4 linked regions of the Notamacropus eugenii genome follow. The protein of the gene in region 3 interacts with the protein of the main gene of each other region in a pairwise test. Links are inferred from orthologs where the notes say so. Each region holds a gene or a part of one and is shown on either strand. Other genes may lie near its edges.

Region 1 (7,519 bases), on a different chromosome or scaffold from region 3:
GGCGGGCTTTCCAAAGGTTTCGGTGTGCAAAATTATCCTTGCCTGAGTCCCACAGATGTCAGTGGTGCTTAAATCAAGACAGACTCTCCCAGTTCCAAGTACTGGTGAAACCATAGGCCGGGGATAGGGATTGGATCGGAGAATTTGGGTGCAAAAAACTAGGATTACGGATGGTGTCTTTGGAATAAATCCATGTCCAAATTCATTATCTTGTATTTGCTAGCTACTTCTTTAAAATAAAGATGGCAGGTCAATAATTAGCCAAGACAATAAAGGCATGACTGGAAATCAAGCAAAATTAGTCGATGTAGTGGTGAAGACCAATCCTTTCAAAGAGGAATAAGAGCCTTTATGACTCAGTTGGACCTTATGAGGGAGTTGAAAACCTGAGAAAGACTTTCCAAAACTCTTCAACGGAATTTTAAGTAAGATCCTCTCTAAATATATATATATACATATGTACATATGCATACACGTATCTGTATATATGCACAAAGGCAAAATAGATCTTATAAATAATAACCTCATTGAAAATGCAAATCTAAGCCTAGTTATTTTATTTGGCAACCAAGCCAGTTCTCAGAACAATAAAGGGCTTGTCTTCCAAACTTCAGAGAGACAGGCATATCAGAAGTTACTATTTTCCACAAGACAACAGCATACAAAGGAGGCGGTTAGGAGAAGGGAAGGTTTTCTTGATCAGTTTCATCCAGAGCTTGGTCTATCCATGATTAGCATAACGTCCTTTTGCCAGAATTGAAAAGAAAAGGATTGTTGGCTGGCTGGGAAAAACAAAGCCCTCCCCCTGATAACTACTCTCCTTTTCCAAAGTTTCTCAAGCATTTGAAGTTCTCAGGGGCAGCCCTCTACTCTCCAGGTCCTCCAGTTCCTAAGGGGGCTGGTTTCCTAAATTCCCAGGTCCTTCCACAGAAAGGAACTGAGAGGCAGGTGGTATAAGCACAAGACATACTGATCTCATATAATGGCTCTTTTCAGTGGGAGGAAAGACGGGCCTTAGTCTCCCCCTGAAGATTTATTTTCTTTACTCTCATGAGGGATCCTTCATATTGTAGCAAGAGAACAGTGACCCCAAAGAAAATAGATCATTGCTAAACTGTAAGTGCTGAGCTGAGGCCTCTGACATACTTCTCAAAAGCAGATACAGAGACTAGAAAATGATGTTAAGGTCTCCACTTGTCAAAGCAAAGCAGAAGATGCAAAAGGGGTGGGGTGGAAGAGAGGCTGGGGAAAAAACACTCTTCTTATCTGAACTACACTGGGTTTTTGCAATTCTCAATTTCGCAAACACTAGTGCAAACCTAGCTATCTGTGTCAGCCTTCAGTTGGCTAGGACGATCAGCAAGGCATGGGTCCTGGACCAGGCTCAGAAACAGTCAGAGGTCATTGAGTTCAAGACAAGCTTTCACCAAAGCCACTGCAGACAGAGGCTCTTCAGCCCTCACTGTACACTGGCTTGTTTCCTTTGAATGAAGACAGACGCCCCTAAATGCTGCTGCAGGAAACCTGATTGGCTGCACACTGTGAGATAGAACATTTCTGCATGGAGCTGTCTCTTTATGCCTAAATGCCTGCATTAGTTTGGATCAATATGTCCCCATAACAGTTAATCCATGGAAATGCAACACAGCAGAGAGAAATTGACAAAGAAATGCAATGTGTGTGTACCGTTTCCAGGTGCACATACACATGAATCCTGACCCCTGGGGGAAAAGTGGTAGAAGCAAAAAAGCAGCTAGATCTGCCAAGACACCAGCCCTGAAGGGCTCTGACGGCTAGGGAGGACAGCACGGGTTGTCAAAATGGCTTTAGAGTGACATGTCACCATCAGGATGATGAAGTAGGCATTTTACTGACACTGGCGCTCCTCAAGTCAACCAGACAACCCTCACACAACTGCAATGCAGCTTTTGCTATCCATCCTAGAATCCATACACCAGCCCCTTGCATTGCTGCAGCTGAAACCAGCCAGGTCTCGTGCAGCCACTACCCACCCATGCTCACAATAAGAATATCGATGCATAACAACGTTTGACGGTAGGAAATGGGAGGAAAAATAATCGCCACTACATCTAGAGAAATCAAGAGGGGGAGGGGAAGAAAAAGTCAAAAGGTAACTCACCTTTGACTTGTGTTTCATATTCAGCTATGATCTCTTTGTCTTTCTTGAACTTAGTTTGAGATGACATTTTCTGAAGGGGCTGCACCAACCCCGATTTGTTTTTCCCCCGATTTCTTCCCCGGTCCTCCCAGCAATAGCAGGAGTCAAGGCGATTTCCAAGGTTTGGGGACTAATCAGTTTCACTTGGCTGCAGAAGGGGAAAGGGGGAAAAACCTTCTTTCTAGCTTGCAGGAAGAATTCTCTTCATTTGCGGGGGGGAGGAGGAGGGGAGCAGATAATAACTGACTTCGGTCAGCTTGTCTTAAAAAAGAGTAGACATCCCCCTCTCCAAAAAAGCACAGCAACCTGCTTCAGTTTTTTCAGACTTCTCTTTAAATATATGTATGTATATATATATATATCTCAAAAACATTCACGCGCACATGCAAACACACACACACACACAAGCGCTCACACACTCATTCCAACATGCACACTCACAATCGCGGTCTATGCATACACACCCTTGCACTCACACCAACACACACACACATACACACACACAGAGGCTCCTCCTTTGACGTGCAATCAGCTCCCAGAGCCGATAAGAAAAGCTCTCCAGGTTTGTCCAAAGAAATGGTCAGGTTGCCAGAGGGGCTCTCATCTCGCATCTTCCCTCTCTCTCTCCCTCCCTCTGTATGTCGTCCTCGTCCTTCCAACGGTCAGATTTATGGAGACGATCAAAGCCAGGAGAGAGAAATACAAGTTTTCCTTCTGAAATGCATGGGCTCCAATGAGCCGGGGGGCTGCAAACTGGAGCTGCTTTCACTGCAGGGCTGCCTCTCGCTCGCTCGCTCGCTCGCTCGCTTCCCCCCAGCACCACCAGCGTCGCGTCACGGGCCAGACTCCACCTCCTAGATTTTATAACAACTGACACATTGTAGCCTACAGGACATCACAACTCACTGCAAGCGAAAAGGAAAAAAGCCCCACCAAAGGGACCGCGACCCGGAGAAAGGAGCAGGTTAGCACAGACCGAGAGGCCACCGAGGGAAGCAGAGAGGAAGGCGGTCAGCAAAACCTGGGTCTGGCCTCGGAGGTTTCCCAGATGACTTTGTCTCGTGAAAACTCACGGTCTTTATTCCGAGAAGACTTGAAGGCTGGGGACAGGAGCTCACAGTGGATTTCACAAAATTTGCACCCGCCTCCCCTCGCCTTGTGCAGAGGCAGTATACTGGACGAGTTAGAGCCTTGGGCTGAGAGGCAGGAAGACCTGGGTTCATGTCTTGCCTCTGATTCAATCCAGCTGTGTGGCAATGGGTAAGTTAGCCCTCTCTGCGCTCCAGTTTCCCCATCCATAAATGTGGAGAATATCTGTGCTCTGTACCTCTCAGAATTGTGGTGAGATTCCAAGTAAAGTGACTTGTAAATTTGAAAATGCCATATAAACATTAGTTATTCTCGCACCCTCGATCATGTCTGTCCTTGCCTGACTATAGGATCCTGGATGTAAAGCTAGAAATGACCTCTGAATTTATTGAAACCCATCTCGTCATTGTAGGGATGAGTAAACTGAGGCTGGGGGTGGTTAAGTAATTTGCCCCAGGGTCACAATCTAGTGTCTGACCAAGTATTTGAACCCACGGAAATCCTTAGCCCCCTGTTACAGATGAGGAAACTGAGATTCACAGAGAGTAACACACTTTCACAAGGCTATACAGTTTCTGTAACAACATACCCACTGTGCCCTGCACAACTGGGAGGCTTACGCTTTTCCACGAAGGGTTCCCTAGCTCTGGGCTCATGAACAGACTGAGGACAGTTTGGCAGCTAGGTAGTATTCCATTGAAAAACAGTTGACCTAGACAGATTGGCACATCTCTCAGAAGCAGAGAGAGCCTAACAAATGGTCTTAAGGTCTCCATTTGTCAAAGCAAAGCAGAAGATACAAAAGGGATGGGATTTGAGACCCAGAAGACCTGAGCTTAAATACTCCCTCAGCCACTTAATGTCACAACTTCTCCCAAGTTCAGTTTCTTCATCTGTAAAATGGGAATAAAAATAGCACCTACTTCAGTGGGTTGTTGTGAGGATCAAATGAAATCTACAAAAGCACTTTATAATTATTAAAACACTGTATAAATGTTAACTATTATTATTCAATTCTAGGGAAGCTTCTCATGTAAAGAAAGGGATCAGCCTTTTTTTTTTTTTACTGTCTCTGGCTCTTCACATATTTCCTCACCCCACCCCAATCCTAAAACCTAGGAAGAAATCAAATAGAACATAAGTGTGGCTTCTGTTTAGGGTTTCCCAAAAGGGAGTAGAAGGATAATCGATGTGCAAGGTATATCAGATATAGGACAGCTATTTATTTCACACACACAGGAAAAATGCTAAAAACACAAAAGACTCATAAGGATGCACTGGCAAAAACATGAAGTGTGATACTGTAACCCATAACTTCTGTTAAATAGTACTCTCCTAGAAGATTGATACTTAGAACATTAAAACATAGAACACTTAGTGGGACAGTTGACTAGGCATTTCACTTTCACCTTGACTCTGCAACATCTAAACAATTCCTTCAAGATATATGTCTTCAGGTCAGGAGAACAAGGCCTTGGGCTCACCATCTTTTCTGAGAAAAGTATAATTGCAGAAACTTACTCCTGCTGCTAGTCAACTCAGAACAAGCGATGGAGGAACCCTCTGTCTTTCAGATTCAGAAGGTTGCCTCCAAGTCTAGAAAAATCCATTTCAGGACTGCTTTTATGTCACCTATTCTTGGGGAAAGAAGCACAAGTAGAAAGGTAGATAAGGGACCCAAGGCTCAGGCTCATCTAGACAGCTCCTGAGGATGATGACATTGCTACCACCTGAAGGAGGTACTCCTCCCTCCCTCAAAGGGAGAGAGTCCCAAGGGAGTCCCAAAAATCTAGCGGGAGACTTCTTTGCCACATATTCTAGAGAGAAGAAGATGAGAGCAAAAGTTTTACTCATTTACAAGTTGAGTCAGGAGGCTGCTCTTCATAATAAAAATAACAATAGCTAGCATTTATATAACACCTACATGTGCCTGCTGTGTTAAGAATACTTTACAAATATTAGCTCATTTGATCCTCACAGCAGCCCTGGAAGGTTGGTGTTATTATTATCCCCATTTTACAGATGAAGGAACTGGACAAACAGAGGCGAAGTGACTTGTCCAGAGTCACGTAGCTAGTGAGGGTCTGAGGCTGGATTTTAACTCAGGTCTTCCTGATTCCAAGTTCTTTGACCTCTCAGCCACCTCTCTTCCCAGCTTAGTGTCCAATAAGAGAAGTATTTCATCATCTCAAAGCACATAGTCCTTCAGTGCTGGACCAGAAATCACATGGCCAACCAGAAGTAGCCTTGAGTACCCACAGATCACCCATTTACTCCCATTATTCCAGCAAGTGGCACAATTGGCATTTGAACCCAGATCTTCTAACCTTAAGGCCAGCAAGAGTTATCTCACAGTGTCCTTGGTGGCACATACACTTCAAACACAGACTCCCATTGAAAAATCAACCCTCAGCAACTGTTTCCAGGATGCTTCCGTGCTAAGCCAATATACCAAGACATAAAAAAGGCAGTAGTGAAGACAGAGCACAAAGCTAGACCCAGAGAACAAGTCAGGGTGATTATCTAGGCCCCTACTTAAAGGCACCGGATCCTTTAGTAGCCCAGTAACATGAGTGACTGGGGCTAAAACAGGTAGACTGAGAAGCGGAAGAGAGGATGCTTTTGAAAAAAAAATGCCGGGTCAGGGATCCAGGGTTCAAATCATCACTGTCATTTCCTAGCTGTGTGACCTCGGACAAGTCACTAATTTCCTCAAGTATAAAATGAGGGAATTGGACTAGGTGGGCATTGGGGTCCCTTCCACCTCTAAATCTGCATTCCCAGGATGAGGAGGAAATGGTTTCTCCATCAGCTGGTGTTTCAAAACAAAACAAAAGAAATCTTGTAGTATAGTGGGAAGAACCTTAGAGTAAGAAAGCTATTTGCTAGCTGTGTGAACTTGAGCAGAACACTTTGAGCTTCAGTTCCCTAATCTGTAAAATGGAAATGATCCTTCTTATACTACCTACCTCAACAGACTTGTGAATTAGTGTGAAATTACGTGTGCTTTGTGTGAATTAAGGTGCTTTGTAATTGCTAAGGCATTGTACAAATAAACATCAGTTATTATTATACTCGCAGCCCCTCCACCTCCTCTTCTTTTGTCACCAAGGCGATGTGGGCTGGACTGGCTGCCTGGCAACTAAGTCTGCCTCCCCCTTATCATTTCCACGTCCTCTCAGGCTACATGTGACTCTCTCCTGACATCTCGCCTTTGGCTCCTTTTCTTCCCCTTCAATGCTGACTCTTGATTTGTCCAATCTTGTTCACTGATCAATGGCTTTTGTTATGATTCCAGGGGGGGCTTGGGGGAAGGCAGGATGAAGTGTACAGAGTATAATTTACCTTGTTCCCAAGGCAAGGGAGAGGAGTCATTTGTTCCATCTAGGTTCTCCAGCTATGGAGAGATCATTGGTTATAGAATCAAAAAACTTTCATTCAAATCCTGCCTCTAACATTTATTAGCTGTGTGACCCTAGGCAAGTCACATAACCTCTTTCAGTTGCCTTATGTGTGAGATGAAGAGGTTAGACTTGATGACAGTTCAAGTCTCTGTCGCTCTAATTCTATGATCCATGTTATCCTTGGGATGGCCCTGGCTGGGCATATTCACTTGAGAAAGTTCAATTCCTTTCTTTCATTTGGGAGTGGGGAGAAGATATTTCAAAGAATCTTGGAGTTATAAGAAAATTCAGAGATCACCTAGAACAATTTCTGCCTAAAATATGAATGTCTTCCACACCATCCCTGCTGAAGGATTATGAGCCTGTGCTTGACTACCTCCAGTGATGGAGAACTCTCTGCCTCACACAAAAGCACATTTCTCTCCAATTAGAGACATGTTGTGATGCCATTTTTCCAATGTGCCTGAGGTATAACCTTCAAGCAACAGAAAAACTGACTGTGCATCAGGGTTTGTTTCTCTGGGGTCTATAATCTTTAAAATAAAAATTTTGATAACTGTATTTTGATATAATTGGTTTCCTTTGTAGTCCTCTGTGTTTTATTTTATATATTAAAAAACATCATTTTGAGAAGAGGTCCCCAGGCTTCACATTTCGACTTCCAAAGGGGGACCAGGATGGAAGAAAAGGTTGAGTCCCAGTTCTGGATGCTGATGGAAGAAGTTATATAGTAACCAATATGGAAATGTGTTTGGCATGACTGCATATGTATATCCTATATCAAATTGCTTGCCTTTTCAATGAGGGAGGAAGGAAGAGAATTTGAAACTCAAAATGTTTAAAAATG
Region 2 (6,891 bases), on a different chromosome or scaffold from region 3:
GAAATAGTGTGAAGTCATTCAAAATGGGTCCGTTACTTCATAGGAATGTAGAGAGAAAGTTGTGAAGGTTTTTGATGTAAGGGATAAGTTACATCAGGTCTCTGAATAAATTTTTCCAAATCTTTTTAAAGGAATGAAGAGGAAAAGGATACTATAACTGTTTCAATAAGGTTGCATCAAAAAAAAAAAAAAAGACTTGTAAGATATTTTCAATGTTTTTTTTTTAAAGATACTCTAGGAAGTCACTAATTTTTTCTTTAATCTATAACATTAAAAGCAAAACAGGATGTCCCAAAAGTGCCATTTTAAGCTAGTAAAGCTGTACTATGGTGAAACTAATTTATCCTAAGTGCAGATGATAAAGGAAAATGCTAATTGTTTCTATTTATTTTATTAAGCACAAATTTCCAATTGTCTTGACACAAAGGAAATTTGTAGAAAGAATAATTCTGTTTCTACATTCAAGGGGTAATGTAGTCTAACATTCAAATATCAAATCTACCCAATTTAATCTTTACAAATAAAAGATACTGACTCTAAATGGAAAAACTGACATTTAATTAAAAATGAATGATTAAAAACTGCTGAATAATTTCACTTTACAAACACAACCCAAAAATGCATCCAAATACAGTACAATACTACCTGCAAGTATCATACAGTTTTAGGTCATCGACACTGCTGGATCATAAACCTTTCACAAGCAATATCAGAAAAATGAGGAGGGGGGTGGGGATGAGGGTTGGGTTTTCAACAATACTCTAAAAAGTAGGACGTCACAGAATATAGGTTTAGTGTAGAAAAAGACCTCAATGACTAAGAATTGAAAATAAGGAATGCCCATGAACTGGGGAATGGCTGCAGAATACAACTGTGCTATAAGAAATAACAGGCAGAAGGATTTCAGAAAAGCCTGAAAAGACTTGCATGAACTGATGCATAGTGAAGTGAACAGACTCAAAAGAACGTTGTACACATTAATTGAAATACTGTTCGATGAAGAACTGTGAATGACTTAACTATTCTCAGCAATACAGCGATCCAAAGCAATCCCAAAGGACTAATGATGAAGCCTACAATCCCCCTCCAGAAAAAGAATTGATATTGATTGAATACAGACTGAAGCATACTATTTTTCACTTTTATTTTTTTCTTTTATTAGAGTCTTCTTGTACAAGATGACTAGTTTAGAAATGTTTTACGTAATTGTACATTTATTGCCTCTGTTTGCTTATCTTGGGGAGAGGAAGGGAAGAGAAGGAGGAACAGAATTTGGAACCAAAAACTTTAATTAAAAATGGTACAGAAAATGAAAAGCCACAAAGGCCATCATGGAGTCTAACTCTCTCGTTTTATGGAGGTCCGGGAAGGTTAAAATTTGTCCAAGGTCAACCAGGTAGTGAGAGGCAGAAGCAGGAGCTGGAACCCCCCTTCCCTGCCCCCCCATCCGCTAGCCTCCAGAGTCAGTACTCCTTCCAGATCACGACGGAATGCCACAAGTATATGTAGGAAAAAGCCATAGGAAGGCTACCCACCAATACCAACACCACCGCATGCCTAACACAATGAAAGGGACACACCCGAGACTGAAACACGGAACATGAATGATAAAAAAAAAAAAAATACACCCCCGAAGCTCCTTAGTTAGTGCCCGACTCGCAATTTCCTCAGGAGTACCTAGGGAGGGGAGGAGGACAACTATGCACTGTCATCTGGGGTGAACGGAAGATTGCTCGAGCCAAACCCACAAGGTGACAAGTAGTAGTAAACAGAATACTCGCTTCCCCGCAAACCCAGCCGGGAAAGAAGTGTAGACGTCCAGCTGGAGCTTGCACATGGCCTTCCTTCTCCCCGCCCCGATCCCCAAAGGCTTCCAAAGGGAAGGGGATCCAAGAACGCGAATGGAGGCTGACAAAGCAAAGCGGGGCTGGGCAGGGATGGGCCCCTCAGCCCCGCAGCTCGCCCCGCGAAGCTCGGACCCGCACTGCCACAGCGCCACGGGGGCACCCCCTGCGCTGCCTCACTGCTCTCTCCTCCCAGGACACTCCACGCAGGGCGATGGGCAGGGGACCTGACACTTCGGAGGCTTCCCCGGAGAGGCGGGGACCCCCCGGCCTACCTAGGCTCCCCCCGCTTCCTCAAACAAAAATAACACACACCCCAAAAAAAGAAAAAGCTCAGTCACGTCCTTGAAGGTCCGAACCCTGCGTGGCTGCGGGTGCAGGGCCGGAGCGGGGAGGGTCTCCGGGACCCACCTCTGGGCCCCCCCACCCGATTCTTTCTTCCTCCCTCCTCCTCCTGCTCCTCCACCACAACACCGAGACCGTCCACCCCGAGCATCCGCTGCCTCCCGTGCCCGCCCAGCCGCTGGTCAAGGCTTCACGCTGGGCCGCTCCGGCCTGTCCGGCCCCCGGAGCGCGGCCCGGGTGAGGGGCCCCCGCGGCGCCGCCGCAGAGCTGGGGGCGGGGAGGGGAGCGGGGCCGACACCTCCTCTTACCGGCTCTGGGCGGGGAGAGGGACGGGCCTGGAAGGAAGGGCGGCCTCCGGCTCCGGCTCCGGCTCCCGCTCGGGCGGCGGCGGCGGCAGGGGCTGCTTAGGCCGGAGGCCCCCACGGGTCACTCGCCGCCGGCCGCCCGGTGTTTTCATACAAACCCCGGCAGCAGGCGAGGAGGAGAAGGCGGCGGCGGCGGCGGAACCTGCCCGCATCCCGGGCAACGTCACGGCGCCGCCCCGCCCCGCCCCCACCCGGCTTCCCGCCCCCCTGGTCCCCCGCCCCTACTCCGGGGGGAGGGGGAAGCACGCGCCGCCCCACCCCCACCCCCCACCCCCGTCTCCTCTCCGGCGGGGGGAAAGCACACGCGCTGTCACGGTGCCTCGCCGCCCCGCCCCTCCCGGCTTTCCCCTCTGACACCTACCCATTCCCGGTCGTCTTGAAGACGGGCTTGGGCAAAGTGTGTGGGGAGGAGGAGTAGTGTGGGGTGGGCAAGGGGCAGAAGGGGCATCGAAAAATGATGAGGATACTGGGCCCCGTAGGCCTAGCCTCCTCCCCACCCCACCCCCATCCTTACCCAGCCCCAGGGACCGGCGCCGGGAGGCGCGAACTGCCAACTGCTGGCACGCGCTGCCTACCTCCCTCCCCGCTAGGACTGCTGGCTCGCGAGGCTGTCCTAGCCTTTCTTCAGCTCCTCTTTGCATGCATGTGCCAGATGCTGCCCATGACCGCGCCGTGTGCTCCTGGGATCAAACAGCACACCTTTCCTGGGACTAACCGTACTGGTCACCCACCCGAAAGCGTGGAATTCCTCAGACGTGACTTCTTTAATGCCCATTGGGTGTACAGAACTATCACACACTGAATTAAATGGCAAAGATCTAAGGCTTCTTGGAAGGGGAATAACACTTAAAAAGAGGAGACAATACGGGCAAATACACAACCAGCATATATTGTTTCGTGTACTTTGCATACATACAAAATGTAAATTATATTTTCAGATGTGGGTTTGATTAGAGGCGGAGGAGATCTTTTCCAGCTCCCAGATTCTGTGAATCTGTTGAAAGCAGTCACACGTGGAGAAAGCCCGTTCTAAGAAGCTCCGAAGGGATGGTGTGAAATTACTCCTTACCGCCAGACTTCTGGGAATGTAGAAACCTATGGTTGCAGCAGGCAGAAGAGGTGTGGTTCAGCCCTCCCTCCCTCAAAACAAAGTCAAATGCAAATCATGTCGTTATTTCTCTGATGGCATGGTCTTCTTCCCGCCACGAAGGAAGAACCCATGCTTCGGTGGTTATTGGTTTGGTTTCTTTTTCATGAACGACGCTAAACAAACGAAATAGTGTTATAACAAATCATCACCTGATGGCTCCTGTTGCCTTATTAGAGCATGGACACGACCCTGTGTTTTTTGAAAGCTGTTCCAGTAGAGCACAAATTCTAAAAAGTTTTAGCAAGCTAGAAAGTCTTAGCCCAGACACTGATGAATCAGGTCACAGACATATATTAAGTGCCTGCTATATGCTAGGTGTTGGGCTAGATGCTGGGAATATAAATTTTTAAAATGAAATAGTCCCTGCCCTCAAGAAGTTTACTTCCTATTCTTGGGAGACAATATGTATATTTAAGATTAGATTAAGTATTCTGTACAAAAGAAATGATAGCCTGTATATCTGTATATACAAAAAGAAGGCTTAGATTCAGAAATGTTCATTGGCCAGGGTGGGGCCACTAGGAGGTGAATTTTTCTAAATCAGAACTCATGGAATGTCTACTAAGATGTGGAAGAGTTGCAATATGGGAAGGAAGGAAGGGAAGAAGGGAGGAAGGGAGGGAGGGAGGGAAGAAAGAACATCCTATAACACGTAGAGTTGTTCTTTTGTTTGTCTGGGGAAAAAAATCTCATCATCAAGCAATTAACACTGTTTTCCAGACTAGACTAATGAGTTCTGTGGATTATGCTTTTATGCATGTGATGAGGCTTCATGGTATGTTTTGGCAGCACCCTCTCAAAGAATTCAGTCAGATCAACTCTAATCCAAGTATAGGCATTTATGGAAGATTGAAATATCTCATGAAGTGGGCTAAGTTCCAAGAGGAACCAACAACTTCAGAGAAAGCAACAAGTATATTAAAGAAATCATGAATATTAAAAGACAGGAGTTTGTAATAGGGGAAGGGTCCCTAGGTGGTCATTCATCCTGGTCCTGCTACCTTCTGATTGGCTAGCTACTGTGATCCTGTTTTGGGCTAAATGAATGATGTGATTGTAGTTGAATACAAAAACACACCAGTTCAAATATGGGAATTGGATCTGGGGGCAGTGGCTGCAATGAGTCTGGAGGCATGTGATGTGGTTAAAGCCAGACTTTGTGGTTAAATCAGGACATGACTACTGGTCAGTGGGGCCCATAAGGGAGTTAGAATATTGGGGCTGAGGGGCAACTTTATTAAGACACCAAAGTTTTGGTTCAAAAAATGTTTGATAAGGACCATGTTCAAACATGTTCTGGTAATGATAAAAGTTGAGATTTTCTTTTTCCTATTTCTAAAGTGATAATGGAAAGGGCATCAAATTTGGAAGCTTGAAGACCAGAGTTTAAGTCCCAGCTAAACCATTCACTAGCAGGAAGTATAACACTGAATTTCACCTTTTTTCAATGACTTTCCCATATGCCTAGAATGTTCTCCCTCCTCACCTCTGCCTACTGACTTCCTTCAAGAATCAGCTCAAATCCCACCTTCTACCTGAGGCCTTTCCAGGTCTCACTCTCCCAATTTCTAGTGCCTTACCCCTTCAACTTACCTTCCATTTATACTTTGTATTTTGTATACATAAATTTTTGCATGTTGCCCTACCCAACAAAACGAGTTCTTTGTTTTTCTTTGTATTTCCCTTGTTTAGCACAGCATGGTATATAGTATGATCTTAATAGATGTTTATTGACTGACTGGCTGAACCATAAGGTTTAGACAGATGTAAGTCCAATCACTTCATTTTACAAATGAAATTGGAGCCCAGAGGTATGGAGTGACTTGTCCCTACTTAACTCCTTTGAGCCTCAGTTTCAGCATCTATAAAATGAAGGTATTACATGTCCTACCTGCCTCAGAGAATATTGTGTCAAAACTTTCCCTCAACCCAACCCAACCTTCACAGTCATCCATCTCTCCTCCCATTAAGATGTTAAACTTCTGGACAGCTTCTCCTCCCTTCCACCTCCTCACAACTTGCCCACTCCTGCAATCTGGCTTCCATCCAAACCAGTCTACAGATCCTGTTCTCTCCGTGGTCATCACTCACCTTTTAAAGATCATATCTAATAGCCTTTTCTCAATCCTCATCCTGGGAAAACTTTACATAGCATTTGACATTGTTGACCATCTGACCTCTGTTAGTCTTACCTCTCTTGTCTTCTATAGCACTTCCCTCCCCTGGTTCTCCTTCTTTCTGTTCCTCAATCAATCAATCAAGAGACATTTATTAAGCATCTACCCTATGCCAGGTGCTAATGAGGGCTGGACAGATAGAGGAATGAGTGGAGTTCCCTTCCATGGGTCATCTGGAAAAGAATTCCAGACTCAAGCATTCTTGAGGTCAAGGTAGTAAAGACTTACTACACTTTTCAGTGGGCAGGGGTTCTTAGGGCACCTGAGATTTGAATGGGGTACACGTAAAGTTCATATAGTATATTCTATAGTAAAACATGTGCCAAGCGTGATGACTAGGTGATTCAAGAGGGACTGAGGTATGGTTAAAGAGTGGTTAGTTCTTAAAGGAACATGCACTTTTAGTATCTACTGTGAAGGCATTTTACCCAGAGTTCTTTGAGAAATAGAGCAAGAGGGGTGGGGTGAGGGGCTTCATGAAGGTGTGATTTTAGACCTGAAATGGCACTAAGACTACTAATGATCAGGACTGACTAAGTAATATCAGGCTGCTCTCATCAATGTCTTGTTAGAAAAGATAAATGTACAAGAGTATACGTATGTGTAAATCTAGGGTACCTATGATTGGTCAGTGAGTAGTAAATGTCGTTATGACCCAGTACACAGCCAGTTCAGCCAGTACACAACTGGTTCAAAGTAATAAATTCTATGGGTGCAGCTGGCTACTGTAGCAGAAAGCAAGATAATGGTTTTTGCTGGGACAGGTTGTTCTTGGACTGGGGAGAAACTGCCTGGAATAGTGTTTTGAGGCTAGAGAGGAATGTGATTTTTAGAGAGAGGTGAGATTTTAGAATTGGAGTCCAAGCACAGGCACCCAACTACCCAATCTGTGCTGTACCTAACACTGACACAAAAGACAAAACAAGTCAAAAGACAGTCCCAGCCCTCAAGAAGCTTACAATTCAATGGGGGAGACAATGTATGTTATGTATGTGTATGAGATGTAAGAA
Region 3 (7,842 bases):
TGTGAGGATCCAGAAGATGTCATTCGGTCTTTCTGTCCCTCTTCCTCACCAACAGTTTTCTCTGTTGACCCCAGAGGAATAATCCTAGTTTGGGGGCAACTTGGCATCCTGCCTGGGCTTAAGTTGTGTCTCTCATGGACTCCTCCCTAACCAGGCCTCCTTCCTCCCAGTTCTCCTCCTTGATGCTTTGCCATTGCCATCTTTCTCCCACCCTTACCTGGCAGTATGCCAGAGAAGGAACACAGAGCAGCGAGCCTCAGGCTTGCTGGTCAGTTTCAGTACAGGATACAAACCAGGTATTCTGAAACACACAGGCAAGAAAGTGAAACACACAGGAAAGAAGAATGTGACTAGAGACAGCATCAAACCAGCCCTACCCACTGGTCATGGATGCTTGCAAGGTAGCTCTGTATTCCTTCAGATTCAACTGTACAAAACCTTCCATGGGAACCAACAGAAAGGCATGCATCCCCCTCAACTTGAAATTCTCTCCAAAGGGAACTGCTTGGGATCACTATCCTAGAGGAAATGGCATTTGTGGTTTCCATTGTTCCAGTCCCTGATGCCCAATTCCCATTTTCTCTGCACCTTGAACTGCTATGCAGCCACCACTCACTCTCCTACAGCCACACTACTCAAGGGTGCAGAAAGTAGGACATAGGAATAGCTGCATTTTTTAAAGAAAAAAACCCTCAGGATAAAAGCTACTCACTCACAACCTCAGAGCTCCTTAGCTGTGCCAAGATGGTCACCAGGGATTGTCCCTTTTGAATGTGGCAATCAGTGCCAGGGCAAGGATTCCCAAAACCTTCTTGTGTTAAAAGGTGAATGAGCTTCACCCACTCCCCCACACCCCACCCCAAGTCTGAATGGTCATATCTCTGCAAATGTTATGCCTACTCCTTCAGACGTCTACCTGTCAGTAACTGCCCCCCTCCTCTCCCCTCCCTTAGACCAAAAGAATCAGAAGGGAAAGTTAGGGGTGGTGGAGGAGGGAGAGGAAGGGGGTGGGGGGGCGAGAGAGAGAGAGAGAGAGAGATATGATTCAAGTGAGTGGTTATTCCAAAAAAATGTGCCAAGATTTTCTCCATCACAGTAATAGCTCTCTAAAATATATGAAAAGAGAGGGAGTTTAATTCGGGCTCTGAAAGCGATAAAGAAATAACACCCCCCTCAAAAAATAGATTTGGCATCCCTTGGGCACCAGGTTTTATCCCTCGCCAGGGAGAACATATAGGTATTTGGGATTCTGTACCTGCCCATTCAGTTTCTCCGACCCTGGACACATCAAACACAGGGAAATGCTATTTTTGTAGTATGCAAAGCTAATGAGCATTTCTTAAATCGGCCCCCAATGTTCTCCTCCTTCTGCTCTGAAGTCCTCCACCCCCATCCAGTTTTCCAGTAGGCAGGGTTTCATTAAAATGGCAAGAAAATAAAGCCCCTTAGCTTCAAGTGTTGGGGTGTGGGGGAGGGAGAGAAAAAAGAAAACATCCTGCCAGCATCGGGGTTTCTGATATTTGGCTGTTAAAAACCACCCGGCGGCAACAAAATGGATTCTATCTTAGGGATGTCTTGGTCAATACAGAGAATCGGCATCTGAGTGAGTTTCCCAAAAAGGTGAATTGGCCTGATAGCAGGTCACACACACACACACACACACACACACACACACACACACACACACACACACACACACTCGAAGATCTGGATCTTCCCTTTTGCTTGTCACAAAACTGAAATATCAATGGACTCAGATCAGCAGCCTGAGCTAAGGCGGAGTTAAAGGCATAAATAAAGGTGACTGGGTGGGGGTGGGGGGCAAGCAAGCCCCTAAGAGCTCCCTAAAGGAAGCCAGACAGGGAGTGAGGCTGGGAGGGCGAGGAGACGGGAAATGTTTGTATGGACAAGTCTGGCATAGCCGTCCTAGAAGCCTGGAAGCCGTTCGGGGCCACCTTCCCTTCCCGGTGACACCCGGAACTCAAGGAGGTCTCGGTTCTAATGTCAGGCTGCAGGTAGAAAGACACCCTAGGAAAACTGGGAGCTGGAGCGGATTGATCAGGACCCTGGTCCTGATACGGTCTGCCAAATTCAGAAGGTTCAGCAGCCCCCTGGCAGACTGCCTCTGAGAGGGCGAAGCCTTTTTGAACACTGATTACTATTGTATTCTTGCCCAAGGGGAATAGCTCTGAGCCTTCCATCGTTTGCCCGATGCCCGCCAGGAGTGGGCATCCGGGAGCAGGTGGCTGCCAGTGGCCCTTACTCAGAGAAACGGAATGGCGAACTGGGTGTTGTACACACAGCCCCGTGCGAAAGGTAAACGGCGGCGTGAGCTGCTCCTACACACACACACACACACACACACACACACACACACACACACACACACACACACACACACCAACCACACCATACCACACCACACCACACCCCCGGGCATCTCCCTTTCCAAGCATCAGTCCCCACCACCAAAGGCAACCCAGTCTGTCTATCCACCCATCCGTCCGTTCCGGCACGCATCCATCTCCAGCCTGGAGGCAAGTGACTCTAGAGCAGCTCCCAATGCAAACAGCCCCCAGCAGGTCCCTCTAAAGCCCCGAGCCCACAACCGTCTCCTCCATGCGCCGCTCGCGCCCCCACCCCCAGCCGCGGTCCACGAAGGATGGATGCCTCCAGATCGTGGGATGCAGCCGCCCGGGGAGGAGAAAGAAGGCAGGCGCCGAGAGCGCCCAAGCTCACCCTCAGAGCCGAGAGATCGATCTCGTCCAGGCTGCGAGCCGGGGAGTCGCTCGCCATGTTGGCTCCTTTGCCGGGCAAACCGAGCCCCGGGTGCCCTGGCAGTCCCCTGAATTGCCTCCTAGTTCTAGGGGCTGGCCGCCCTCATGCGGGCGGGGGTCGTGCCCCCCAGCAACCTTCCGCAGCAGTCCAAGCAGCAGCCGCCGCGGAGAGCGAGGGACCGAGGTCTGGCCGCCAGGCAGTCCGCCTCGGCCAGGCAGCAGCAGCAGCAGCAGCAGAAGGAGGAGGAGGAGGAGGAGGGGAAAGGGGAGGAGGGCGAGGAGGAGGAGGCACGAGTGGGCTGCTGCTGGTGCTGAGAGCGGCCCAGGCGGCAGCGCAGCGCTGCTAAGGGAGTCGAGGCTGCGTGGGTGTATTTAAATGGGACATGCTTTTCTGCTGGTGCGTGGATGGCCGCTGCATTGGCTGTTATAATGAGACACTTCAACTCCTCCACTCAGATGGGGGGAAGAGCGCCGCACACAAGTGTCTATCACAGCTTCCTGGGAGGAGTAAAAAAAAGAGTGGAGGGGGGTGGGAGGAAGGGGGAGAGAGAGAGAGAGAGAGAGAGAGGGAGGGAGAGGGAGGGAGGGAGGGAGGGAGGGAGAGGGAGGGAGGGAGGGAGGGAGAGAGAGAGAGAGAGAGAGAGAGAGAGAGAGAGAGAGAGAGAGAGAGAGAGAGAGAGAGAGAGAGAGAGAGAGAGAGAGAGAGAGAGAGGCGTGGCCTCCACCGGCTCAATAGACCCAGCTTTTCCTGACCCAGTCTCTTGCACCAGCCCTTCTTGGGGACTGGAGAGGCAGAGAGGAGGACATCTCACCTCTTTCCACCACCACCACCTCCACGTCCCCGGCACGTTCGCCTGTTTTGGGGCTGGAGCTGCTACAACGTGCCTGAGCATACAGCGAACCCGCGGGGGTGGGGGCTGTCAGAGAAAAGGGAAGAAATTCTATCGCTGCGGAGCTGGGGGTGGCGGTGTTGGGGGGGAACGTTGCAGCAAAAAAAGACAGATTCTTCACCAGGGATCGAATTGTGCCTTCGCCTTCTACGTCGGGGTCCACATCCCGATGGTTTTAAGAAATTATGATAATAAATAAAGGCCATTATCCCCCAACCCCACTGTTGTTTGCAGTCTGGAGTAGCCTGGCCCGCCGCGGCAGCCAGTGCATATAAGGACTGATGGAGCAGTGGGGAGGGCACCGGGGTGAGATCGGCCTCCAGCAGTGGGCCGCACACGTCCGGCACAGGAAAAAAAAAGAAAGAAAGAAAGAAAGAAAGAAAAGAAGGAGCAATAGCGTAGGCAACCGCGGCGCCCAGGCCACTTACTAGGGCAAAGCTGAAATTTGCATAAGCAACAGGATGGGGGTCAGCTCCCTACCCCTAGCCCCTTATTCACGGTCACTCGTGCATCTTGCCAAAGCTGAGAAAGGATGTGGGGGTGGAAGGGTGATGAGCCCTAGAATGGAAATTGCCACCCACCTCCCCACTTTCCCCACCCTCTGGGCCTCCAATGCCTGCAGTTCCCCGGGGGAAATGCCCGGTACTAGGGAGAACTCTCCTTTCCAACTGACGATCCAGGCGCCAGGTACCTGTGACAGCAGCGGCTGATTAGTGCTTCTAACCTGGATTTAAATTTTTGTCCGCGTTTCATTGCTGACCTACACAGATGGAGAGCGAAAGTTTGCCTGCCAGGAAGCACGCAACATACAAGGTGTAGGAGGGAGACTGAGTGTGTTTTTTTGCCAATTTCTCATCTGCATCCAAAATATTTACAGCGCTGCGCTGCTATACTGTGGGGCGGTTTGTGAAGCCACTTCCCCTTAACCCCCAGCCCCCAGCGCTGCTTCCCCTACGGCCCTGGGCACACGAAAATGGAATGTTGGTTCCAAATAGAATTGTGAATTTTCAAATTGTTCCATTCTCCTTTGTTAGAAACAATCTCACTCGAGCCAAGTGCTCTGAATGGCTTTGCTTGTACATAAGATAGAATACCAGCTTCAGAGTAAAGCTTTTGAATGAGCAAGTGAGTGAATGAAAAAAAAGGTCTGGGCAGTAGCTTAAATGTTTGCAATTTATTCATGGCATTCTAAAATGATTTTCAGCACCCACTGTACTGTGTTTAATGTTGGTATTTATAAAGACTAATAGAAATGATAATGCACCCTGAATTTTGAAAGATTGATCCACCAGCTCGCTTGCCACCAAAATTCACATGACTGAGTTTTGCCTTTAAGCCTGGTACCTGTTATTAATACTAATAGTAACTTATAGTTAGATGACATTCTTTACAAAGAGCTTCCACATATATTATCTCTACCCACAGTACCAAGAGTCCTGGGAGTTAGGTAAGTACAGTAAGATCATAGAATCAGATCTAGGACTGATAGGGACCTGAGAGGTCACTGAAGCCAAATTGCTGGTTTTACAGATGAGGTATCTGAGGTATAGGAAGACTAAGCAATTTTTCCAAGGTAACAAAGCTAGGAAGTGGAGGAATTGGGACTGATAACAAATCCATCCTTCTCTCCATTTTTTCCTAAAGATTTAGTTCAACAAATGTGTATTAAATGTCTTTTGTGTGTCAGACTCTCTGATAGATTTGAAAACAAAAATGAAAGCATTCCCTACCCTGAAGGGGCTTAGAATCCAGTAGGGGAAGAATGATAGAGGATTTGGTGAGAATTGAGGTGTAATCACTTGCCAAAGGTCACATCGCTAGCAGCTCAGTTCTAGAACCCAGAGCTTCAGACAAGTCCAAAGTATTTTCTGCTTGGAGAAAGATCTTCAAATTTGGAATTGGGGGACTTTAGAAGGAATTCCAAAGAAACTTGCTGGGAACAATATCTACAGTAAAGTATTTTGGGGGGAGGGGAGGATCCCTCAGTTTCTTGTCTGTAAAATCTGGGAGTTAGACAACCTGACCACCAATGTTCCTTTGACCTCTACATCTATATCTTTTTTTCTAAGCTATTTCCCCACATATTTATGTCACATGCAACAGCTCTCAGTGATGTCAGAAAGAGGTAGGCAATTGTCTTTCCTTCCTTATTCTCTCCCATGTCAATTTCCTATCTAGATCTAATTTAAGGTTAAAATATCAGTGTCTATTTTGGAGAAAATAACATCACAAATTGAAGGGGCAGGGGTTCAAACAGAATTATTTTATATGGTATTTGTAATTTGTATTAAAAGGAGGAACAATGACCAATTTGCTTGAATCAGTAGCATATTTTTCCATTCCTAATTTTATTTGGAATATAACAAAACACAATAGCCCTCACCAAAAAGGAGAGAACAAATCACTTCATTTAGAATTGAAATAACCCCTTTAGGCACCCAGGTTAGTATATCAAAAATTATGGCTCTGGAAGGCACTAAATCATATTTTTATTAATGGCAGAAATTTGGGGGCCCTCTAAATAAGAGGACCAAGCTCAATCGACTTATATTTACACTTCAGAACCCTGGGAAAAAAGAATGCCCATTTCACCCAGTCCATTCAGGGTCCATTGATATATATTATCTTATACCTAGTCTGTGAGGTCTGCAACCTCAGTGAGGTCATTCTGCCTCATCCTATCCCCAAAGCAAGTATTTGCCAAGCCTTGTCCTTTCTGCCTCCATAATCCTCTCCAATCCAATTTATTTATTAAGGACCCACAAAAAGAACTGGACAAGGTGCAAAGGATAGAAAGACAAAAATTTAAAACAAAAAACAAACATACAACCTGTTTCTAAGGACCTGCATGTTGTCTCCCTGCCCCTAGCAATTAGAGGGGGAGCTTCTTGAGGGCAGGGACCACGTTTTTGCCATTCTTTACATCTCCAGAGTTTAGCACAGTGCCTTAGGACTTAGAAGGCTTCAAAATCATACCTTGATTCCTTCCTCCCTTCTTAGTACCATTTAATGTGTTACCTTCCCCCATTAGAGCATAAGTCCCTTGAGCGCAGGCACCAATGTTTTTGGTTTGTATTTGTGGCCTCACACTTAGCACAGAGTAATACCTCACTACCTAATAGTTAGTTGATTGAATACTGGGAGGATACATGTAAACATGAGGATATGTGTTTTTTATTTGGACTTGATGCATAATTGCTTTGGTATAGGGATCTCCCAGGAGGAAATTTTCTCTTCCAATGCAGATCAACCCTTGCCCTGAGTCTCCTTCTCTGGGTCTTGAGAAGTGTCCTGACTTTCCAAGAAGCACATAGCCACTGGGGAGGGCACAGGGGTGGGATCAGTCTCCAAGCAGTGTGCCACACACTTCCCAACCTTGACAACAGCTGCTTCTCTAAACACATACACACATGTAAAATATACACATATACATATATGAATATGCATATACATATATGAATGTATGTGACTATTTGCACATGTCTAATGGGCCATTAGGTGGTGCCATAGTGCACAGAACACTAGGCCTGGGATAAGGAAGACTCATATTCCTGAGTTCAAATCCAACCACAGACACTTACTAGCTGTGTGAACTCATTTGGGTTTTCTTGACAAAGATACTAGTGTGGTTTTCCATGTCCTTCTTTACCTCATTTTACAAGTGAGGAAACTGAGGCAAACAAGATAAAGTGACTTGCCCAGGGTCACACGTCTGGTATCTGAGACTAGATTTGAACTCAGGTCTTAAGTCTAGGTCCACCATTCACCTACCTGCCCTAAACAAATGTGGTTTCTCACCAAGGTAGAATACAAGACAATCATCTTCAAGGTTCTGGTATGCCTCCCCTGAGGCAGCCTAAGACCACGTTCTCGTGTTTTTGCCATTATGTTATACCTTTGACTCATACAGACACATATCAGTTTAGACTTTGTATTACACTTATTTGCAAAATGAGAGTTCCTTGAGGACAGGGACTATGTGATCTCACCTTTGTATCTCCAGTGCCTTGAACTGCGTCATGCACACACTAGACTTTTGGTAAATGCTTGTTGAGATTGATTGAATTTAGTGTTTTAGTTCAATAAATATGTAGAAAGCTGCTAGGTGCAAGGGAGAGAGGACCTCACTGTCTAGCTGAGGAGGCAGTTACAATGATGAGAAGAAGAACTAGCAA
Region 4 (7,176 bases), on a different chromosome or scaffold from region 3:
AAGGGGAAATTTCCAAAGAGGAAAGATGAAGGGTAAAACCAGAAAGTCTATGAGGGGAGTATCAAAACAAGAAACCAAAGACATATGGGTCAGAAAAACAAACTAAATGGAAAAAATCCCACACTAAGAAATAAGAAATTATCAAAAAGGGAAAAAAAAATTGTATGGGGGGAGGGAGAGGAAATCTCTTCAGTCCTCTCTGGGCTGTGCCTACTCACCTGAGACACAGAAAGTCAAGGTACCTTATCTCTGTATTAAAGCACACACATAAATGATCAATGATAAGCAGTCTTGTGAGCTTCTATCTAGAGTATTTGTACTTTTGGATAAATACGACTCTTGTCAGATGTCTTGTCTGACATCTTCAAATTCATAAGCCCATAAAAGACACATGTTGTGTGGGTTCAGATAAAACCCTTTCTCTCCTTAAGCTCCCCAACATTTTAGTACTAGGTAATATGGGATTTTGTTGTGCTAGTGAGGTATACGTGTAGGGGAGAAATGCCTACTCTTGTAAAAAAAAGGTCCCAGGGAAAATAAGGATAGCTGAGATGTACTCTGATTCTTTAGAACTCTGTCTTTTAATAAAATCCACTTGGGGTTGGACATCTCTATATATTTACACCTAATACTAAATATGTCAAATGTGGATAAGAAGAGGCAGCAATATTACAGGATGGGGGGAAAGACTGCAAATGGAGAGAGAAGTGTTACACTCTGGGGCAGTTGCTGACATCGTAATGCATCATCAGCGACATATAAATAAGCATCAGCCGCTTCAGGGTTTTGATCGAGTCCAGTCTGCAGTGAACCAGAAGGGGAGGGGGTGGGAGTGGGGGTGAATTGGCAGCACTGAAAACAATTGATTTCGGCCTGCCTGGCGGGTCCCAGAGGGAAATTCTCCCGCGTCTCTTGTAGCGCACTGGCATCGTGCATTACAGAGCAGAGCAATTCTCCAGGGCCCGGGTGAGCATCCTTTACGTGGACTCTGGGGAAAGCCCTGCAGCCTCTGCCACCGCGGCACCAGCCGTGACACCGCTGAAGCACCCCATCATTTCTAAGTATCGCCTTAGAATTGGTGTTCTATTTGTCCCGAAATAGCACATTAGAGGGTCGAAGGGGAAGGAAAGATGGGAAGAGAAACTAAGAAAAGCCAAAAAAAGAGGGGGGGTGCAGAGAAGGTAGTTTAGCGAGAGATTTCCTGTGAGTGTCTGGGATCTTAGAAGGTAGACGTTAAACCAAAAAAATAAACAAACAACAGTTTGAAGGAGTCTCACGTTCATGATTTTCCTTCTTATTCCTGTAACTGTAACAGATAGGAGGAAAAGAGGAGACTTGTAATACGCACGATTAAAAGGTTACACAGATAAACCACTCTGCTACCTGCTTGAGACAGCAGATCATTTAGAAAGTGTGAGCTTTCTCATCGCCCCCGCACGAGCATCCCCAGATGGGCTCTATCCCTGGCAAGCTCTGCGCCAGCGAGATTTTTCCCCTGTGGCCGGATTTATCCTGTGCCAAACCTGTGCAAGAGAGGTCTGCCTTTCCGTAGACACCCCCCCCCCCCCCCCGCCCCGAGACCCCTCATTTTCTCGCATAAGCACACCTGCCTGGCAGCCCTACTGGAGGAAGAGAGAGGGCCCCAGCTTGGATGACTGAATCAAAACAAGAAGATGGGGGTTTACTGTGGGGTGGGGGGTGGGGGGGTAGTACATTAAAGGATAGTCAAGAGAAGACTCCAAGCATCCGATCACCTCATTCAAAATGATGGCGGGGTGGTGGGTGGGTGGGTAATCCATAGGTCTCTGGGCCAGAAGAGGAGATTCCACTCGGAATCCAAAACAAATGCCTAGGCGCTGATAAAACGCATTTCAATATCTATTAGCGATGCCGTGCTAATGTTTCTAAATTAAGGAAAATGCGACTAATTAACTGATTAAAGGAAGAATTCCTCCTCGGTCCCCTCCCCTTTCTTCCCAAACCTCACAGTCTAACCATCGGAATTACCTTTCATCCAGTCCACCACTTGACTCGGCGACCATTTGCTCACTGGTTCCATTATAAGAGCCATTGGGAATGGGATTGATTTCTTTGTCAGGCGAAGAATTCGAAAAGCAAAAAGCACCCTAGAAATCTTATCTTTTCCCCTCTGGTTCCTCTTCTCCCGCAGAGAGGATAGGGTGCTCTCTGGGTAGATGGATGGCTGGGAGTCGAGGGAAGGGAAGCAGACTGCCTTATTGTATCAGGTTTCCCGGTAGCACTCCCTGCTGCAAATTCTCTCAGCGAACCTAGAGCATCAGCGCCAGGCAGCCCAGCCCGGGAGAGGGAGGGAGACGCCACCGAATCGCAGCTCTCCTCCTCCTCCTCTTCCTCCTCCTCCTCCTTCTCCTTCTGCTCAGTCCCTTCAGCTGTTTCCCCACCTCCTCCTCTCCGTTCCTCTGTCTGTCTCTCTCTCTCTCTCTATGTAGGGTTCCAATTCATACTGCTGTCTTCTCCCGTGGGGGGGAAGGAGGGGGACGCTGAGCACGCTCAGACGTCTGCTGCCCTCACCCGCTGCTGCTGCTGGTGGCTGCTGCTGCTGCTGCTGCTGCGGCTGCTGGTGGCTGCTGCCACCACCGCTGCTCCTAGGTGTTGCTTCCTTAAGCAGGGCTAGGGTTAGGTTAGGGCGTCTTGGCGGGAGGCTGCTCGACCAAGGCTTGGAAGGCGAGCTTTCCTATAACTCAGTAGTGCCTTGATGGCTCTCTCTTTCTCAAGAGCTCCAGCCCCCCACCCCCACCCCCAAACTCCAAGACTTGTCTCTGGCTAGGAGATTAAAACCCCAGGCACAGCACACAGGCTAGCGGAAATGACGAGGTGCCTCTTGCCACCAAAATATCTCTCCAGCTCCCTTAAGTGAGGAGAGGGCGATGGGAGAGAGGGGGAGAGATAGGGAGAATCCCCTCCAAAGCTCTCTTCTCTAGATGCTAAGGGGGCGAGAAGAGAACCCGCAACCCAACTAAAGCACGAAGCAGTATGTGTGTGTGTGTGTGTGTGTGTGTGTGTGTGTGTGTGTGTGTGTGTGTGTGTGTGTGTGTGTGTGTGAGGTCCAATACTGTGGGGGCCAGCCACACCAGAGGAACACCACCTGCATCTTCCAAATGAGCTCCCACAGCCTGGGATGCACTTCTAACCGCAGCTGTGATAGCAGCAGTCGCAGCAGCAGCAGCCTCCGCTGGAGGCCCCAGTGGGAGGAAAGGGCTTGATGGGGAGAGGGAGAGATCACGATTCCAAGGGAAACTGAAGGCGAGGGGCGCATCGGTAGCCTCCCCCACCTCTCCTCCCCAACCCCTATCCCCACACCCCTCTCCTTCTAGCAGTTCAGCTCTAGTGGGCAAAGGTATCGAGTTACAAAAAGCCTTTATTGTGGCTGAAGAGTTGCACTCTGTCTCCGTCTGCCGGAGGAAAAGGGGTGGGGGGGAATGGGGGAAGCGGGAAGCGATGGGGAACACCACTGGGCAAAGAGATTACATCAACAACCGCTGCAGCACAGCCAAACAGCGGTGGCGGGGGTTTCCTCCTTCCCGATTACAAAGCGGGCTACGGAGGGAATTTCTACGAGGAGCAAACCGCCACAGTAGTCGCTTCTGAGCTTTTAACGTAATTTACGGTAGCCAGAAACCATTATTAGTGATAAGTGGGTATGGGGAGGGGGAATGGGAAGTGGGGAGACGGTTTTATTTCACCCCTTTTTGAAATGGGACTAAGATTTTTTTCTTTTTGTGAAATGCATATTTACATACATACATGTGTGTATATATAGATATATGTATCAATGGCTATATGTGTATGGATATATACATATATAATCACCCCTATACAGTCACTGAGACACACATATAGCCATAGATACATATATCCGGCTGTTTTTCTCTCTGATATATACATATATACACATGAGCATGTATACACATACGTATTGTGCATGCACGCACACATATATCTATCCATCCTCTCATCCATCCATCCATCCATCCATCCATCCATCATCCATCCATTATCCACTCTATCTATCTATCATCTATCTTTTACGTATCTCTATATAGCTATCTATAGCATTATTGGGAAATTAAGTTCTGTAAGACCCCAATGTTATAGGATTTTGCAGAGAGAACTGATGTTAAAAACAAAAAGTTAGCTCACAATTTTGGATTTAGAAATAAAAAAAAAACATTAGCTTCTGAAGTTATCATTCTTTGTTTTATAGGTGGAGCAGTGGGTATAGCATTGGACCTGGAGTTGGGAAAAATGGAAAGATACTAGTTGTGTGACCCTGGGCAAGTCACTTAAATTCTGTTTTTCTCAGTTTTCTCATCGGTAAAATAAGCATGATGGTAACCCCTACTCTCAGGGTTGTTGTGATATGGCACATGGTAAGCTCCATAGAAATGTTAGCTATATTAATATAAGTAATGAGGTATACTATATGTATGAATATGTACATACATAATAAATGTTTAACTATTGACTATATTTATGCATACATAAATACATACATATATCTATATGTATAGAAATAGAGACATGTAGATATAAAAGTACATATTTATGCTCCCAAAGGGTGAGGATTGTATTTTATCTTTTTCTAAATCCCCAGTGCTGAAGTGTCTGACATATAGTAGATGATTAATAAATGATTATTGGTTATGCATATTTATGCAAAAAACAATAACTTTAGAAGTTGCTTATTTTTAAAATATTATCTAGTTTTATACCCATTCCTTTTAGGTACAGAAATTTAACATTCACTTCTGTTTGCAAAATTCCTTTATACAGGGATTTATAGAATCTTATGTCCCAAATTTGGATTTTGCCTTAGATTTGATTTAGTCAAAACTGAAGGCAGTGATCTATATAAGTGACATGTGGAGGATAACGGTGGGACTACAAATAGACAGTAATTTGAGTCTTCATTTCAGCTGATTTTCAGCATTCACATTGACCACTAAATCAAGCATAGTTTAAGTGTTTTTTTTAAAAGAAAGAAATATAAGACAAATAAAAGAGCTCTAGGACCTTGCCTTCTCTACTCACAACGACAGATATTTTTTTTATCCTGATCTTGAAGAACCCTACCTTCCTACTCATATACTGCATACCTTGTTACATTACTGAAAATTCCTTACTGCCATAGTCCCTTTCCTGTGTCTGCTGTTTGGAAATGTAGAACAAGCACCTTTCATAGACTTTTATAATAATGACCGACATTTCTATTGTGTTCGGCAGTGTTTTTGAAAAATAACTTAAATAATTTGAAACTCACAACAATCCTATAATATAAATTCTATAGCTATTATTATAAATCCAGATGAGATGAGGCCTGAAAAAGATTAAGTGACTTGCCCATAGTCGCAAAGGTACTCTAAGTACTACGTAAGAATTTGAACCCAGGACTTCACGATATCAAGTTCAATACCCAACCCACCATGCACCAAGAACTAGAACAAACTTTAAATGTTACCTAATCCAACCCTCAGAGGTAAACAAGTCCTTCATGAAATTATTTGTCCAAGATCATTTAGTAAAACAAGTGTAGAGCCCAGAGTGAAATCCAGCTACCTTGGCTTTTAGAATAGTACTCTTCCCCCTATCCACTGTAACACATTTCTTTCACCTAAATGAGCTTGTGTTCCCCTTACCCCATCACCAGGTGTGAGACAGGGTAGGTTTGGAGGAAGGATGATGAAGCAGGTAGACGTATTGAAGCTGCTAAGTCAAACCTTAGTCACTGGGCCTGACTGATTTATTCCATTTGAATGTATTTGGGGAGGAAAAAATCACCTTGGGTTTGAGAAAGACCAGTGATTTCAATTAAGTTTGGCAACCCAAGTGAAAGAGGATTTTAAGTTTGTTTAAGGTGACTTAGGGGAGAAGCAACATTTCTTCATTCATCAAACATCTCTAGATGATACAAAATGGACCCTTTCCAATTTTATATAGCAATGTAGACTGAGAAGCAAGACATGGTATCTGGGGAAAATTTATTTGTAAACAAATGACTTGTTGAAATACACCATAACTCTAAGGGGTATTCATTATAATCTGAATTCTGTTTATTTTGGCTTCATCCAAGACTGCCAATGTATAAATTAGTCTCCTGGCATGGACCCTAAGAACAGTATTATAGGACATTTCAAAAAGCACATTTCAGTCCAAGAAACTTTTACAATAAAAACACATATAAAAAATAAACTTCTAGCTTACCTAACGATTTTTTTTTAGATTAGACCCATATTTTCATCAGTATGATTTATGTGTGTGTGTAAATTCATATCTATAACAGCTCTGCCATTTTTTCAAAAAAGACTTATTTTTAAAAAATTTACTTATTACTACTCCAACATTCACTGTCGTAAAATTTTGAGTTCTAAAAGATCCCCCCTCTCTGCTCCTCCTCCCCAAGACAGCATTCAATGTGATACAGGGTATACATATTAATATACATGTTAATCATGTTAAACATATTCCCACATTAGTCATGTTGTGAAAGAAGAATCAGAACAAAGGGGAAAAAACTATGAGAAAGAAAAAAAGAAAATAGTAGGTTTCTATCTGCATTCCTATTCCAAAGTTCTTTGGGTGTGGATAACATTTTCCACCATGAGTCTTCTGGAATCGTCTTAAATCATTGCATTACTGAGAAGTGCTAAGTCTATCAAAGTTGATACTTGCATAATGTTGCTGTTATTGTATACAATGTTCTCCTGGTTCTGCTCACTTCATTCAGCATCAGTTCATGCAGGTCTTTCCAGGTTTTTCTGAAATCTGCCTGCTCATCATTACTTATAGAACAATAGTATTCCTTTATATTCATAAACCATAACTTGTTCAACTGTTCCCCAACTGATGGGCATCCCCTCAACTTCCAGTTCTTTGCCACCACAAAAAAAGTAACTCTGCCACTTTTAATCTTAGAAAGTTGCCTAGAAGCACTGAGAAGTTAAATGACTTTTCTAAGGTCACATTGATAGCTTATGACATAGGCAAGATTTGACATGATAGAGCTCCAGTCACTATACCATGCAGCCATTCTGCATGGCATTCTGAAGGGCGTTAACGAGCCCTGAAGACAATTAGATCAATGAAGGCCCTCTGTACAATTGTAACACAGAGTCATAGCAAGTATCTCAAACTCAACAG

The links.
Region 1: the proteins of TNIK (region 3) and SRGAP3 interact in a two-hybrid assay, tested with the Homo sapiens proteins (2 studies listed by BioGRID and IntAct). The link is inferred for Notamacropus eugenii from reciprocal best matches to the Homo sapiens genes TNIK and SRGAP3.
Region 2: the proteins of TNIK (region 3) and AGTPBP1 interact in a two-hybrid assay, tested with the Homo sapiens proteins (2 studies listed by BioGRID and IntAct). The link is inferred for Notamacropus eugenii from reciprocal best matches to the Homo sapiens genes TNIK and AGTPBP1.
Region 4: the proteins of TNIK (region 3) and CNKSR2 interact in a two-hybrid assay, tested with the Homo sapiens proteins (2 studies listed by BioGRID and IntAct). The link is inferred for Notamacropus eugenii from reciprocal best matches to the Homo sapiens genes TNIK and CNKSR2.

The regions. Positions count from the first base shown.
Region 1 is NC_092874.1:436,048,119-436,055,637, reverse strand, and holds the start of SRGAP3 (SLIT-ROBO Rho GTPase-activating protein 3), read right to left. Parts: upstream 3,006-7,519; 5' UTR 2,208-3,005; coding exon 2,141-2,207; intron 1-2,140. UniProt on the Homo sapiens protein: GTPase-activating protein for RAC1 and perhaps Cdc42, but not for RhoA small GTPase. May attenuate RAC1 signaling in neurons.
Region 2 is NC_092872.1:76,678,820-76,685,710, forward strand, and holds the start of AGTPBP1 (cytosolic carboxypeptidase 1), read right to left. Parts: upstream 3,002-6,891; 5' UTR 2,916-3,001; intron 2,732-2,915; exon of another isoform or gene 2,498-2,731; intron 2,326-2,497; exon of another isoform or gene 2,160-2,325; intron 1-2,159. UniProt on the Homo sapiens protein: Metallocarboxypeptidase that mediates protein deglutamylation of tubulin and non-tubulin target proteins.
Region 3 is NC_092877.1:352,749,052-352,756,893, reverse strand, and holds the start of TNIK (TRAF2 and NCK-interacting protein kinase), read right to left. Parts: upstream 3,017-7,842; 5' UTR 2,797-3,016; coding exon 2,740-2,796; intron 1-2,739. UniProt on the Homo sapiens protein: Serine/threonine kinase that acts as an essential activator of the Wnt signaling pathway. Recruited to promoters of Wnt target genes and required to activate their expression. May act by phosphorylating TCF4/TCF7L2.
Region 4 is NC_092876.1:456,435,452-456,442,627, forward strand, and holds the start of CNKSR2 (connector enhancer of kinase suppressor of ras 2), read right to left. Parts: upstream 3,019-7,176; 5' UTR 2,072-3,018; coding exon 2,008-2,071; intron 1-2,007.